Caenorhabditis elegans: one gene and its partner. The protein of the gene in region 1 interacts with the protein of each later gene in a pairwise test. Each region holds a gene or a part of one and is shown in the gene's direction. Other genes may lie near its edges. The genes, in order: unc-17 and sup-1.

What was found.
Region 2: the proteins of unc-17 (region 1) and sup-1 interact in a protein complementation assay, tested with the Caenorhabditis elegans proteins (one study listed by BioGRID).

What each region holds. Positions count from the first base shown.
Region 1 is NC_003282.8:3,618,670-3,626,876, reverse strand, and holds the start of unc-17 (Vesicular acetylcholine transporter unc-17), read left to right. Parts: upstream 1-2,177; 5' UTR 2,178-2,245; intron 2,246-3,391; 5' UTR 3,392-3,405; coding exon 3,406-3,894; intron 3,895-5,559; coding exon 5,560-5,839; intron 5,840-7,547; coding exon 7,548-8,207. UniProt on the Caenorhabditis elegans protein: Involved in acetylcholine transport into synaptic vesicles.
Region 2 is NC_003281.10:11,732,824-11,739,789, reverse strand, and holds sup-1 (Protein SUP-1), read left to right. Parts: upstream 1-2,162; 5' UTR 2,163-2,176; coding exon 2,177-2,278; intron 2,279-2,323; coding exon 2,324-2,440; intron 2,441-5,848; exon of another isoform or gene 5,849-5,971; intron 5,972-6,032; coding exon 6,033-6,125; 3' UTR 6,126-6,445; downstream 6,446-6,966. UniProt on the Caenorhabditis elegans protein: May be involved in trafficking or stabilization of the vesicular acetylcholine transporter unc-17.

The sequences.
Region 1 (8,207 bases):
TTCAATGTCCTTCAATCTTTGCAATTTCAATCGACCATACGCGTTCAGAGCATTTTTTTTTTTCGTTTTTCCTCCCGTCCAGCACATATTTAAATATTCTCTCTCCCCCTCCCCTGGTTCCTAAAAACTTGGGAAAGGGGAATTTCGAAGGAGGTGGAAGCTTCTTCTTCTCCCCGAGCACACACACACATCCTCTCTTCAAAATCTTTAAGAAATAGTGCGTGTGAATGACTAGACGCTGAAGCTAACTTGGTTTCCGCGAACAATCCCAATCAGTGCCTGTGCCGAGGCTTCGGAGAAGAAGAGATTGACGTCGTCTTTTTCTTTTTTTGTGAAACAGAATAAAAAAGAATACGAAATGGACTTTTTCACACATTTTCGTTACTTTTCCAGAAAAAAACGAAGCTCTAGCCATGGAAGTTTGAATTGAAAACCTAAACCCCGATGTGTATTCATTTGAGCTTAAGCCTAAGCCTAATTCTACGCCTAAGCATAAGCCTAAGCCTATGTTCAAGCCTAAGCCAAATTGTAGAACGTTACCAAAAGATCAAACCTATTTTTCCTACAGAAAAGGTCTAATGATAACTGTTAAGCGAGAGACAAGGAGAGATATATATCAAAAACTAGCCCAAACTGTGATTAACATCTATTAACTGACCTCAAAAAAAAAAATAGTAGAGATTAAATACTGCTCAAAAAGTTTCTTGGAAAAGTAAATTGTTAGGTTTCTGGGGCCTGTAAAACTGGACCGAGTTTTGAAGAATTTTTTTAACTTTTCAAAGTTTGGCGTCACTGAAAGCTTTATATTGTACATGTTCCACCAATTTTCTTTTGTATCCGTTTTTTCTGTCTCAAAACGGAGCTCGAGCCCATGACGTGTGGATACCGTGAGAATCCGCCCAATTCCTTCACATCGATCTCATATTTCTTTCCCAGTTTATATTGAATTCCCGTTGAATTGCGGCTTTGCAGGGGAGAAGATGTGCGTCTTTATATTTTTTTTTCTATCCTTACCCGCCGTGAATCCGGCTCGAATTGAGCCAATTTTTATGAATAGTAGAGCTAATTGACTTCGTCTCCCTAGAATTGATGAGGTAAAGCTCGTGGGGAGATATGGAGATTTTTCGATTTTTTTTCCAGTAATTTTCAGTTCAAAATTTGAGCTTTTGAGCAGGAGTTTTGAGATTTGTGCCAAAATTTCCTATTATTTTTTCAAATATTTTTGCTTTTGTAAAAAAGGTGTAGTAGAAGTTTTGTAGTGCCACTATTTTTTTTTTGAAAATTATGTTTTGGCGGAAAGTTCTTTAAAAAAGTTAATCAAAATTTTTGGCGCTTTAGTCAAATTAATTTTCTGGCAAAAATATTAGTAATTTTGGCGTGAGTTCAATTTTCCCATTCTTAAAATTTCACACAATTAAGAATTTTAAGATTTGGGTTTTTTTTTCAACAAAAAATCAAATATTTACATGAAAATTCGGCGGGAAATAAAAAAAAATATTCCGATTCAATGTGTGAATAACTTTTTGCGGGGAATTCAAATTTGCATTATTTAAACTTTTTTTAAGCTCGAAAAATTGAAATTCTTAAATAAATAAATAAAATTTTCCTCGAATTTTGAATGTTTCGATTTTTTAGCGTTATTTTTTCAAAATTTCCACTAAAACTCTAGTTCTAAAGTTCTAAAACTTTAAAAACTTCCTAATGTTGTGGTCTTGTGTTTTTTTGGCAGCGATTTCCAAATTTCTGAAATTCCAACAAAAAAACCACTACGTCAGTTTGCATATCCAACCCCCCCCCCCCCCCCCCCCCCTCTGAGCCAATCAATCATGTGCATTTTGAATTGGCGCCAAGGCAATCTTCGTAAAAAATAACAATAGAGTCATCCCTCAGAACAGAAAAGAAACCCGCCCGGGGGCTCAAATACACATGTCATTTTTCTTTTTTCGCCTGATTTTTAGCCTAAATTAGTGTTTAGCAATTTTTTAAGGTAACTCGGTGGAGTCATTTGAACTTTTTAAACTAAAATTTCAGAAAAAATTCTTTTTTTTTGTCAAAAAATAATTTTCCCGCCGGAATTTTTCAAAAAAATAATTTTTATTTTATTTTTCAAGTTCCTTGTTTCCTCTTTATTTTTTTATTTTGCCCCCAAAAGTTTTACACTAAAATATTTAATTTTCAGGTAATTCATCGAAAGTCTTTCTATTTTCCGCATCTCTTGTTCAAAATAGTAACCTACTAAAACAAGGTGAGCCTAATTTTTTTTAAATACTGTATTTCCAAAAAGTAGTCATAAGATATATTATGAAAATTTTCAAGAATCTTCGTACAATATTTTGGCAGAAAATTTGAATTTTGAAATTTTTTGGTAAATTTTCCTGGAATATTTGAAATTAATTTTTGGCGCCAGTTTCAAAACATAAAATTTAGAATTTTTTTTAAGTTTTGAAAAAAATTTTTCAACAAATTTTGGCGGTAATTTGTGAATTTCTTTTTTTTTAAACATATTTCGAAAAAATTATTTTGACATAATTTTTTCAATAAAAAAATTTGCACAAAGTTTAAAATAAGTTGTTCAAAAAATTTTCTAGAATCTCGATTTAAAAAATTTCTGACGAATATGCCGCAAACTTACATATTAGAAAAAAAATTGGCGGGAAATAAAAGAACACAGAATTTTTCATAAAATTTTAAATAATTTGGCGCAAAGTCTAAAAATTGTTCTGAAAAAGATGTTTTTTCGACAAAATTCGAATTTATCAATTTTCTAAAAAAATATTTCCAAAGAAAGAGTTTAGCGCGAATTTGAAATTTTTGAAAAAGTGACAGTTGTCATACTCAATTATTTGCAAAAAATTTTTAAATAAGACAATTGGCGCGAAGTTCAAAAATTCCAGAAAAAATTTTGCGCAAAAGTCAAAATTTTGAGAGTTTTTGGCGCGAAATTCATATTTTTCAAAAAAAAATTGGCGGGCTATACAAAAATTCAAAAAAATTCGGCAAAAAATACAAAATTTTTAACATGTTCAACAACTAAACCACCAAGAAGTTCCTCTTTAAAAAAATTTCCAAAAATTACAAACTCCTCCTGTATTACCTGTATTTCCACTACCTTTCTTATATTAATTTTCTCAATTTTCTCCTGTATTTCTCTGTCTCTCCCCTCCCCAACAAGCCTTATACGTGTGTTTTTCCTCAAAACTGGGCGTGGTCTCGGCGGCCCTCTGGCGATCTGTGTCTCCCCTAAGTCTCTCTCTCCCCCATACAATGGGTCTCACGGCTCTGTTACGCGCCGAGCCACGTCATAAGTTTTCTTTAAATTTTTTTTTGTTTGAGAAAAAGCCCCTAGGCCAGCCCGAAGCCCAAAAAATTTAGAAAAAATAAAATATTCCAGGGGGAGAGAGAGAGATGGGCTTCAACGTGCCCGTCATCAACCGAGACTCGGAGATCCTCAAAGCGGACGCCAAAAAGTGGCTTGAGCAGCAGGATAATCAGAAGAAATGCGTCCTGGTGATAGTCTCCATAGCCCTACTACTCGACAATATGCTCTACATGGTCATTGTCCCAATTATTCCGAAATACCTTCGGGACATTCATAACTACCAGGTGACCTTCGAGGGATACCACAATGAGACAAGCCAGCTTGCAAACGGGACCTATCTGGTAAGAGAGGTCGGCGGAAGGATTAACTTTTTGGATGAGGAGCTGGAATTGGGATGGCTCTTCGCTTCAAAAGCTTTGCTGCAAATTTTTGTGAATCCGTTTTCGGGATATATTATCGATCGAGTTGGATACGAGATTCCGATGATTTTGGGGCTATGCACCATGTTTTTCTCCACGGCTATATTTGCTCTTGGAAAGAGCTATGGAGTTTTGCTTTTTGCAAGATCGTTGCAGGTTAGTTTTTTTCTTTCTTTTTAAGAATAAAGTGTTAAGCAGACAAACTGTCAGCTGACTTTAAAACTATAGAAAAAAACCGCTGCTCAACTTTAAATTCATCTAAAAAAATATTTTTTTAAGTATCAAATTGTTCTGGAAGGTTTTTAGACTTTTTGAAGCTTCTGGAAATTTCAAGAAATTTTTGGATTTTTTTCAGAATTTTCTGGAGAAACTTTTAATGTTTTTGAAAAAAATTCCTGATGTTTAATCATCGAAATTTTCTAATAGCTACAAGAAATTTAGAGGTTTCGGAAAATTGTCCAGAGTCTTCAAAATGTCTAGAATTTTCAATTTTATACTACTTCCTAAAACGTTCTGGTTCAGAAATGCCTAAAATTTTTGTTTGAATCTTTTCAAAAACACTCTAAAGCTTTCTGGAATATTTTAAGATTTTTTCAAACCTTCCCTAGTTTTCTAGAAAATTTTAAAAAGCTTCTACAAAGTTCTGGAAATTTGTAAAAAATTTTTAAAAAATTAAAAAGTTTTTAACGTCTCAGAAAATTGTGAACAAATTATTGAAATTTTTTAAAGACTTTAAAAAATTCCAAATGGCTTCAGAACATCTTAGAAAATTAAATAAAATTCTGGGAAATTCTAGAATTTTTTTTTAGTTTTAGAAAATTTCCCCATTCCTGGCATTAAATCTTCCCCCAACGCCAACTTTTTCCCAAGAAAACTTCAACTCGCCGAGCAATTTAATTTGGTTCCTCTTCCTGCTCCTGCCATCTTTCCAATTTCTTACGAAAACCGGTCATCATTCTGTATATAAAATTCGAATCTTTTCCCTTCCATTTTTTTCGCGTTGCTCTTCTAATGTCGGAAACGGAAAGGATTTCTGAAATGCTCTGCGGCTCCGAGTCTTTTCGCACTATTTCCCAGCCGGGCGTCGAACGACTTCGTGCTAATTAACAACAGCAAAGAAGAAGCTGGCGAAAAGAGAAGGAGCTCGCAGAGCAGTAGGAAAATGAGATGGTCCCGGGTGATAAGTACGTCCCCCTTTCGGTGTCCCCTGGGACAGGCGGGGACATCTCCGTAGGTGGTAACATGGACAAATTGGAGATGGAAAGTAGAGGAGAAGAAGTTGTTGGGAAAAGTTTTCAACAAAACTTGGAAGAATTTCAAAATCGGAGCCATGGAGAAGTAGAATCCCTAAACAAAATCTAAAATAATCTAAAAAATTGTGAAAATTCTAGAATGTTCTTGAAAACTTTGAACATCCATTAAAAAGTTGCTGATTTTTCTTTAAACAATTCTGGAATTTAGAAAAATTTTTAAAAAATTTATAGAACTTTTTAGAAAGCTTCAAAAACCTCTGGAAATTCTGGAAACTTTTTGGGATATTACCTGGGAGTTCAGGAAATCTTAGAAAATTTAGAAAAAATTCTGGAAATTTTCGATAATTTTAGAGAGTTTTAGAAAATATTGAATAGCTCTCAAAATTGAAGAGAATTTAGAAATGTTCTAGAAAGTTTCTGGAAATATCAACAAATTTGTGAAAATTCCTTGAATTTACTGAAGTTTAAGGAGTTTTTAAGAGATTTTCAAAGACGTCGGCAATATTTGTATAAATTTCAAAACTCTTAAAAACTGAAACTTTTTGAAAATTTCTAAAAAAAATTTCAGGGCTTCGGCTCAGCGTTCGCCGATACTTCCGGTCTTGCCATGATCGCCGATCGATTCACCGAAGAAAACGAGAGATCAGCGGCACTTGGAATCGCCTTAGCCTTCATCTCGTTCGGGTGCCTAGTTGCTCCACCATTTGGCTCCGTATTGTACTCACTCGCCGGAAAACCCGTACCTTTCCTGATTCTGTCATTTGTCTGTTTGGCTGATGCTATTGCAGTTTTTATGGTGATCAATCCCCATCGGAGAGGCACTGATTCTCATGGAGAGAAGGTTCAAGGTATGGGTTATACGTTTAAAAATTTTAGGATTATTAAAAGTGGTGTAGTCGAAATTTTTTATTGATTTACTAGACTCAAAATTGTCTGAAAACACCGAATTTCATAATGAAACTTCTTTAAAACTTTTCAAAAAAAAAGAGGTTATGTTGGCTTAAAAATTAACCAACAAAGAGTTAAAATTTGAAATTTCGCCAACTTGTCAACGTCGCAGCAGCTGGGAACTAACTTTTTTGAAATCACCAATATACTTTTGATAAATAAGTCAACTATCTTGCTTTTCAAATCAATTTAGGCGCATTTAATGTCGATGGATCACCAGAAGTTACCAAATTTTGCCAAATCTGGTGATCCATATGTTCCTTAAATGTTCCTAAATCGAATATCAACTTGTGTATCCAAAATTAGACGGTGATTTTAAAATAAGTTAGTTTCCAATCGTTGCGACATTGACAAACCTGTCAAATTTGAAATTGTAACAAGTTTTACGTCATTTTTAAGCCGCCATAACTTTGTTTTGAGAAGAAGTTTCATTATGAAATTCGGTGTTTTCAGACACAGTTTAAAGTTTAAAAAAGCAATAAAAAATGTCCACTACACCGCCTTTAACGTCTAAAAAAGCCGAAGAGTTTAAAAGAATGCTAAAATGTTCAGCTTGTCGGTTCCTTTCAGCAATTTTGACAATGTTCTTTTCTAGAAACTTCCGCAGTAAAATAATTAAGATTTTGAGAACTTTTAGACGCTTTTCAAATTTTATAATATTTTGAAAATTCAGCGCCCTGATCATTTTTAGAACTTTCAGTACACAGAAAGTTCATTTCCGATAACTCAGCGATGTTACAGTTATCAAATTGGAAAATTTTTCAGTTTTTTCTGCAATTTTCAAGGCTTTCTCGGCGATTTCAGAGAAAAATTGTGAAGAATTTGAATGTGACAAATCTCATATATTTTCGACAGCTCGATGGTATTTCAGTTCTTAAATTTGAGAGTTTTTCGGAAAATTTTGATTTCATCTTCCAGAATTAGACATTTCCTCATCAAGGTCCGAACCGAGCTTTCCAAAAATATAAATTTAGCACTTTCGGCATTTTAAGCGATTTCGGCAACTTACTAAAAAAAACTTTGAAATTTTAAGAAAAATTATTACCACAATGTCCGACTCTACAACTTTCAAACAGATAGAAATTTACTCACTAGGGAATGGTCAGCTTAGGGGTGAGGTACCTAGAGACGCCACATATGCCAAACGGAAGCTGAGATCATTGGCTACAAGAATATGCTTTCAAATTCTGCAACGGACCTCTGGGAGTCTGGAAATTCTTGTCTGAAATTATGCTTTTGAATGCTCGAAAGTGGTAAGAATTTAGAATTTATTACAGAAAAACGTTTAATTAATAAAATTAGTTTTATACTTGAAACAAGTACTGTATGCACTGTATCAAAACACATTTTCATCTTTTCTAGGTATTCAACTTCACGTTTTTCTGTAATAAATTCTAAATTCTTACCACTTTCGAGCATTCAAAAGCATGATTTCAGACAAGAATTTCCAGACTCCCAGAGGTCCGTTGCAGAATTCGAAAGCATATTCTTGTAGCCAATGATCTCAGCTTCCGTTTGGCATATGTGGCGTCTCTAGGTACCTCACCCCTAAGCTGACCATTCCCTAGTCAAAACGGTACCTGCCCAAACTCAAACGTTTCTTTCCAGGAACCCCAATGTGGCGTCTCTTCATGGATCCCTTCATCGCTTGCTGCTCCGGAGCCCTCATCATGGCCAACGTCTCTCTCGCCTTCCTCGAGCCCACCATCACAACCTGGATGTCCGAAATGATGCCAGACACTCCTGGCTGGTTGGTCGGAGTCATCTGGCTCCCACCATTCTTTCCACACGTTCTCGGAGTCTATGTGACCGTCAAAATGCTCAGGGCGTTCCCCCACCACACATGGGCGATTGCTATGGTTGGGTTGGCTATGGAGGGAATCGCGTGTTTTGCAATCCCCTATACCACATCGGTGATGCAACTTGTCATCCCGCTCTCTTTTGTATGCTTCGGAATCGCCTTGATCGACACCTCGCTCCTCCCGATGCTTGGACACCTTGTGGACACCCGCCACGTTTCGGTTTACGGATCCGTCTACGCGATCGCTGACATTTCGTACTCGTTGGCTTACGCCTTTGGACCCATCATTGCCGGATGGATTGTGACCAACTGGGGATTCACCGCCCTCAACATCATAATCTTCGCCACCAACGTCACCTACGCCCCAGTTTTATTCCTACTGCGGAAAGTTCACTCCTACGACACCCTCGGCGCCAAGGGTGACACCGCCGAAATGACACAGCTCAACTCATCGGCTCCAGCTGGCG
Region 2 (6,966 bases), on another chromosome or scaffold:
AGTAGCGGTGAAAGTGGTCAATGTTATATGATGGATTACGGGAATACAAAACCTAAACTTTTTTCCAAACATGATAAATATGCTGCTTAGATGCTGAAACTACCTGATTTTCATAACGAGACCGCTGAAAAAGTTTTGAGATTTTTAAAATTCAACATTTTGTGCGAAAATCTCTACTTTTTCACCAAAAAAGTTGAATTTTGAAAACCCCAAAACTTTTTCAGCGGTCTCGTTATGAAAATCAAGTAGTTTCAGCATTTAAGCAGCATATGTATCATGTTTGGAAAAAAGTTTAGGTTTGGTATTCCCGTAATCCATCATATTACATTGACCACTTTCACCGCTACTTGCCCACTGAATACATAATTTTTTTACTTGGAAATTGTTTTAGCATCTGCAAAAAATATTTATTTAATAGTTTTAATAAGAAAAAACGGAAAAAATTGGTGAAAAACAAAAGAAAACAGGCGGAAAACAAAGCAAGATAAATGGCCGCTGAAATTTGTCGGGGACTCGGCCAAGGCCTAGAAACCTTTTTGCCTCGTCCCTCGTGAGGAAAAAGTTGCAGTGTTAAAAACAAAAATGTGCAATACCATTCTTTGCCGAGAATTTTAGGCTAATTCGGCAAATCGGCAATTTGCGGGTTTGCCGGAAATTTCATTTCCGGCAGTTTACCGATTTGCCGATTTGCCGGAAAAATCGTTTGCCGCCCACCACTGCTCTGAAGCTTCCAAAAAAAATTAGATTTTTTTTTCAGATTTCTAAAGTTTTTTTTTCTTCCATAAAAATTTTATAAAATCTTCTAAAATTCTAGAAAAAATCTGAATTTCAAATTTGTTTCCAAGTTGTTGTACTTTTGGTTAATAAATTTAATTTTTTTTTTCAAAAAAAAAAACATATATTATAATTTATGTAACTGGTCAATGACCAAAACAACATAAACAAAAATACCGGTTTTTAATTTCCCTTTCCCCTTTTTTTTTCCAAAAATTCTCGTGATATACCACCCCCGTGACGTCATCGTTTTGATAAGTACTATCTGTTAAAAGAAGCGCCCTCTGTCACAAAAAGAAAAAGACCAGAAAGCACATTTGGGTCCCCTCCCTTTAATCTCTGACCGCCTCCTCCCCAATTTCTGCATCTCTTCGGTTGACACAATGTCTCGTGTCATCCACACGCACAATCTTGTGAAATTATCTCTCTTTTTTTCCGAAACTACCAACCGACGGATGGCTAACTTCAAATTTTGTTTCCTCCCCTTCCCGACACCACAACTTTCTTTTTTTCCCTATTTTTTTTCTTTATTTTCCTGTGGTAGTTGTTGTTTTGGAAATCTTGGATTTCTGGGTGTAAACCAGAATTTCTTACCGAAAAGTTATTGTACATAAAATTTTCTATAATTTATTTGTTAATACGTTTTTATAGCTACTTTAAAATTCGTTAAATTCGTTGAAATTCGTTTAAAATTCGTTAAAATTCGAATTTCCCGCCAATTTTTTCTCAGGAAATTTGAATTTCCCGCCAAAATTTTTCTGAAAAATTTGAATTTCCGGCCAAAGATTTTGTCAGAAAATTTGAATTTCCCGCCAAAGATTTTCTCAGAAAATTTAAATTTCGCGCCAAATTTTTAAAAAGAAAATTTTAATTCCTAGCCATATTTTTATGAAATAATTTGAATTTCCCGCCAATTTTTTTCTCAGAAAAATTGAATTACCCGCCAAACTTGTTAGGAGATAATTTCAATTTCCGGCCAAAGATTTTGTCAGAAAATTTGAATTTCCCTCCAACAATTTTTCTAAGAAAAGTTAAATTTCCCTCCAATTTTCTCAGAGATAATTTGAATTTCCCGCCAAAGATGTTCTCATAAAATTTGAATTTCCCTCCATTTTTTGTCAGAAAATTTGAATTTCCCGCCGAAGATTTTTTTGAGAATATTTGAATTTCCCGCCAGAAATATTTTTCAAAAAACTTGAGTTTCTCGCCAAATTTTTAAATTGAAAATTTTAGTTCCGAGCCACAGTTTTATGAGAAAATTTAAGTTTCCCGCCAAAGATTTTCTCATAAAATATCAATTTCCCGCCAAAATTTCTAATTTTTTTTCTCTCCCTAAGAATTCCAAACGCTTTTCGTTTTGCACAATATTCTAAAATCCAAAATTCCAGCTTAACCTATCAAAATGATGTCCTACATCGCACTCGCCGCGTGCATTGGACTCGCAATGGCTGCCAACGTGGACCACGACGTGAAAAGTGCAGTGAATGAGGTCACCACTACAAAGGTACTTTTCCTCTTATATATCTTCAAAATTTCTAAAAAATTCTAGGACGGAGACACATATTGCCCGGTACCATTGGTCGGAACCAAATGCGGAACCTCTAGCATCTTCCACTACTGGAAATGCTGTGGAGAACTCAACAAGGAATGCTGCTTTAACCTCCAGGTACAGTTTTGAAAGAAGTTTAATTTCCGGGCTCAGGCTTTAGCTTAGGCTTAAGCTTAGGCTTAGGCTTAGGCTTAGGCTTAGGCCTAGGCTTAGGCGTAGGCTTAGGCTTAGGGTTAGGGTTAGGGTAGAGCTTAGTCTCAGGCTTAGGCTTAGGTTTAGCCATAGGCTTGGCGTCAGTGGCGAGCGTTAGCTACTTAAGCTTACGATTTTCCGGTTTTTTTTGATTTTTCAAGGGGTTCCTGTTGGCCGATCAACGCGAATTTTTACGGAGAGACGTGTAGGTCACCAAAAAGCTTCTGAAGTTTCAGGTTGATTCGATAGAAACTTAAGGTGTTTTCAAAATGGCTCTCGAGACTTTTTAAAAATTTGTCTGTTTGCCAATTTTTTATTTTTCGGCATTTTTTCGGGAATTTAATGGTGTTAGACTTAGGTTTGGCGTCAGTGGGGGAGCGTTAGCATTTAGGGTTAGGATTACAGCGTTTTTTTCATTTTTCAAAGGGTTCCCGTTGGCCGATCAAAGCGAAATTTAACACAGAGACGTATAGGCCACTAAGAAGCTTCCGTGTAAAATTTCAAATTGATTCCATCAAAACTCGCCGAGTTATGGAGCTTAAGGTATTTTCAAAATGACCCTCAACTATTTTTTAAAATTTGAAAGTTTGGCGTTTTGTCAGTTTTCGGTCTAAGCTCACGAAAATTTAATGACAGGAGGATCGTAGCAGGATAAGGTTTCTTGTAAATTTTGAGCCAATTTCGATTTACAGGAGCCGAGATATTAAGCTTCAAAATCCGACAAAAGTTCGAGTCCGGGTGCGGGCGTCTAAATTTTTTTATGCCCTGTTTTTCGTTCGCTCTGAAAACGCGCGTGTAACTTGACGGTGGGTGGATGGATTTTGATGCGGTTTTTTGCTGTCTCTTCAAGAAGCTTGCCCCATCTCTGTATGCTTTATTTCAGAAAGATTGGAGCTATTTGAGCCGAGATATGAAGAGTATTTTCGAGTATTCTCCAAAAATCACGTTTTTTTTCTCATTTTTCGCCTCTTTTGTTTGCAGGAAAATTCGAGTTTTTGCGATTTTTACGAGATTTTTTAGCAGTTTATAGTACTCGACGAGATGCGTCGAAAAACATACAAATCGTCCAGATCCATCAGCTATGAGCTCTTTTAGAGAGCTCCAAAGTCAAATTCGCAATTTTGACCTCCCCCCTCCCACTTCGGTGTGTTTTTTTCGTGTTTTTTCGCAAACCACCGCTTCGTGCGCTGTTGTCTTTGAGAAATCTTTGGTTCCAAGGTGAAATTGTTGTATAAAAAGATCGTAGGTACATTTTAAAGTAAAAATTATTCCGAAAAAGTGATTTTTTCATTTTGAAAATCGAGGCAGAAAAAAAATTTTTGATTTTTTTTCCAAAAACTTTTTTTTTCCCTTCTCGTAGGATGGCGGTCGTTTGAGATATTTTGATTTTGAGGAAAAAAAATGAAATTACAAATATTTCTAAAGCGATAAAGCAAAAAAATTTCGAAAATTGAGTGAAAACTCACTGAGATAACCGACCTTGAAGCAAGTTACTGCCGTTTTTGCGTTGTTCATTTTTCAACTTTGAGCGTTTATTATTCACTCAATCTGAAATCAATTTCAATTTTGTTTTTTTATATAGATTTAAAATTTGACGCTAAATCCGAAAAACTAAGTTTCAAAAAAATTTTAGTGAAAATTTTTTTCAGCACCGCCAAAAAATCGAGTTTTTCAGCACTGATTTTTTCGAATTTTTGCGATTTTTCACTCATTTTTTAATGAATCTTTGTTTTCTTTTTTGTGTTCAATGAACAATATTTATGAAAAATGAAATCTACTAACAATTTGTGAAAAATTTATTTTTGAAAAAATTTTGTGCCAGTTTGAAATTTTTTCAAAAAATTAATTTTTTGCCTCTTGCCCAGAAAAAGTGGTTTGGTCTGGTGTTTCAAAATTAATATTTTTGAAATCCTTACACCTTTTCATATTCCCTCAAATTTTTGTAACTCAATTCTCACTTTGAAGGGAGATACAGGCGGGAGAAACAGTTCGTTGAAGGGTTGGCTGCCGACACATCGCCACCCCACCCACATCGAGACACACATTTACAACCCAATATATTCAAATATTACCTCCTGCTCTCAGTTTTCAAGATTTTATGATGATTTTTACTTCATGAGAAAGAACACATTCTCTTTCCTATTTGCAGGGCTAGAGGAAGACAAAAAAAAAACAATATGGATTTAAAATCAGGGCTTCGCCCCGATTTTAATAAAATATATGAAACCCTCTTAAAAAGTTACAAGAAGGTTTTTCCTTGCGCTTGGAGTGCAAAAGAAAAGAAAAAGAGCTATTTAGACTTAGGGTGCCCAACTGGAATAAAATATAGGAAATCCTTATGACACACTTAAGCCTAAGGGCCCGAAAAACATACTAGGATGCCCAACTGGAATAAAATATTGGAAATCCTTATGACACACCGGCGGTATGGCGCGGCTTAAGCCTAAATAGCCACTTTTATCAAAATACATTTGAGCTCGCTTTGCGTTTTACTCTAACTTCTCAGGCAACTCAAAAGTAGTCTGTGGATATTTTTCAGTAATCCAAATGAAGATTATTTCTAAGAAACTTGGAAATTTTGTAATATTTGAAGGGATGCGAGCAATCTCTACATATTTGCGAGCAACCTTTGGAGATTTTTTTAAAGTAAAGTTATAGAATGCCAATATACAAACTCCTATCTCATGGGAAGAAAAGTTCAAATTCTGTACCTGCGTAAATTTTTTTATAACTCCGTTCTTTCCACAAGAAAGACCTTCTTCCCATGAGACAGGAATTCAAATATCGGCAGCATTCATAGGTACAGAATTTGAACCTTTCTTCACATGAGATAGGAATTTTATATCGATCAAGTTAACCCTCAAGTAAAGTGGGACCTTTGATGAATATAATCACTCTGATGATATTTAATTCCGATGATTAATCCATTTTTCTTTCTCTCACACTTATGAACTAAAATGATTACTAAATTAAGGCGGGATATTCTAAGGTGTGATAACATATGATATTTATTTTTAAATTTAAATAAAGTTTTTTTTTATTTTTGCTAAAAAACGAATAGTTTACAACCGCCTCGCTCAAATGTATTTTGATAAAAGTGGCTATTTAGGCTTAAGCCGCGCCATACCGCCGGTGTGTCAAGGATTTCCAATATTTTATTCCAGTTGGGCACCCTAAGTCTAAATAGCTCTTTTTCTTTTCTTTTGCGCTCCAAGCGCAAGGAAAAACCTTCTTGTAACTTTTTAAGAGGGTTAGGCTTTGGCTTAGGCTTAGACTTAGGCATAGGCATAGGTTTATAGGCATAGGCTTTTTTTTGAAATTTTGCCTGTGCGCTTTCATATCTCAAAAATGGCAAAAGCTATTAAAAAGTTGTCAACTAAGAAAATGTAGGAAATTTAATTTTCTACAGTTTGCTAGTTTATAACTTTTTTATAGCTCTTGCCATTTTTGAGATATTTGTTACAAAGTTAAAAAAAAACACATTTCAAAATATTTTCAAAAAAATAAATTTTTTCAGACATGGGTCTGGGTAACCCTCGCCTTGTTCGGAGTCATCTTCATCGCCTCCTTCGTCATCTCCCTTGTCCGTTGCATCTGCTGCCGCAAGTAGAAAAATCGATATGTACACCTCCAACCAATTTAGTTTTAATTTCCCGATACTCGATTTATTCCCATTTTAAGCTCCGCCCACATTTTTTAAAATTATATACTTTGGCTCAATTTTTTTTTTGTTTTATATTTTTAGAATCGATTTTTCAAAATCTTTCGCCCCCCTTCCGTTTCGCATAATTCCCTCGGTCACAAAATATTGCATTTATATAAAATTTGCTAACAAAAAGCTTTCCAAACATGTACTTTTTCCACAATACCTTTTATCGAATTTTCTGTATTAATTGCTATTTTTTTATGAAATAAAATTCTGAAAATACATATCAATTTCACATTTCTGGGAAAAAATCGATAAATATAAATCGAAAAAATTATCAATTTTCGGAATTTATCGATTTTTCCAGATTTATCGAAATACCAAAAAAATCTCTGAATTCCGAAAAATATATTATTTCAGCAAGAAAACAATTAATTCCATAAAAACTTGTTGAATACCAAAAAATAAAAATTTCTGAAAAATCGATATTCCGAAAAATCGATAAATTCCGAAAAATCGATAATTTCAAAACAATTGTCACATTCTGAAAATTCGATATTCCAAAAAATTCCAAAAAAAATGGGTAACTTTAGCTGCTGCCCACACCTCGCGGGACAGCTAAAATGCAGCCGGTACCTCACGGGTCAGAAAAACTGTTGAGTTAAAGAGCGGACGTTTTATAAGCCACCTTTGTTGCAGCCGACTTTTCACGGGATTGCCAACATGCTAAGCAGCCGACACCCTCCTGTCCACCAAATCTTTAATCACTTTATTATATTCTTTACAAAAATTCCAAGTAGTTCGA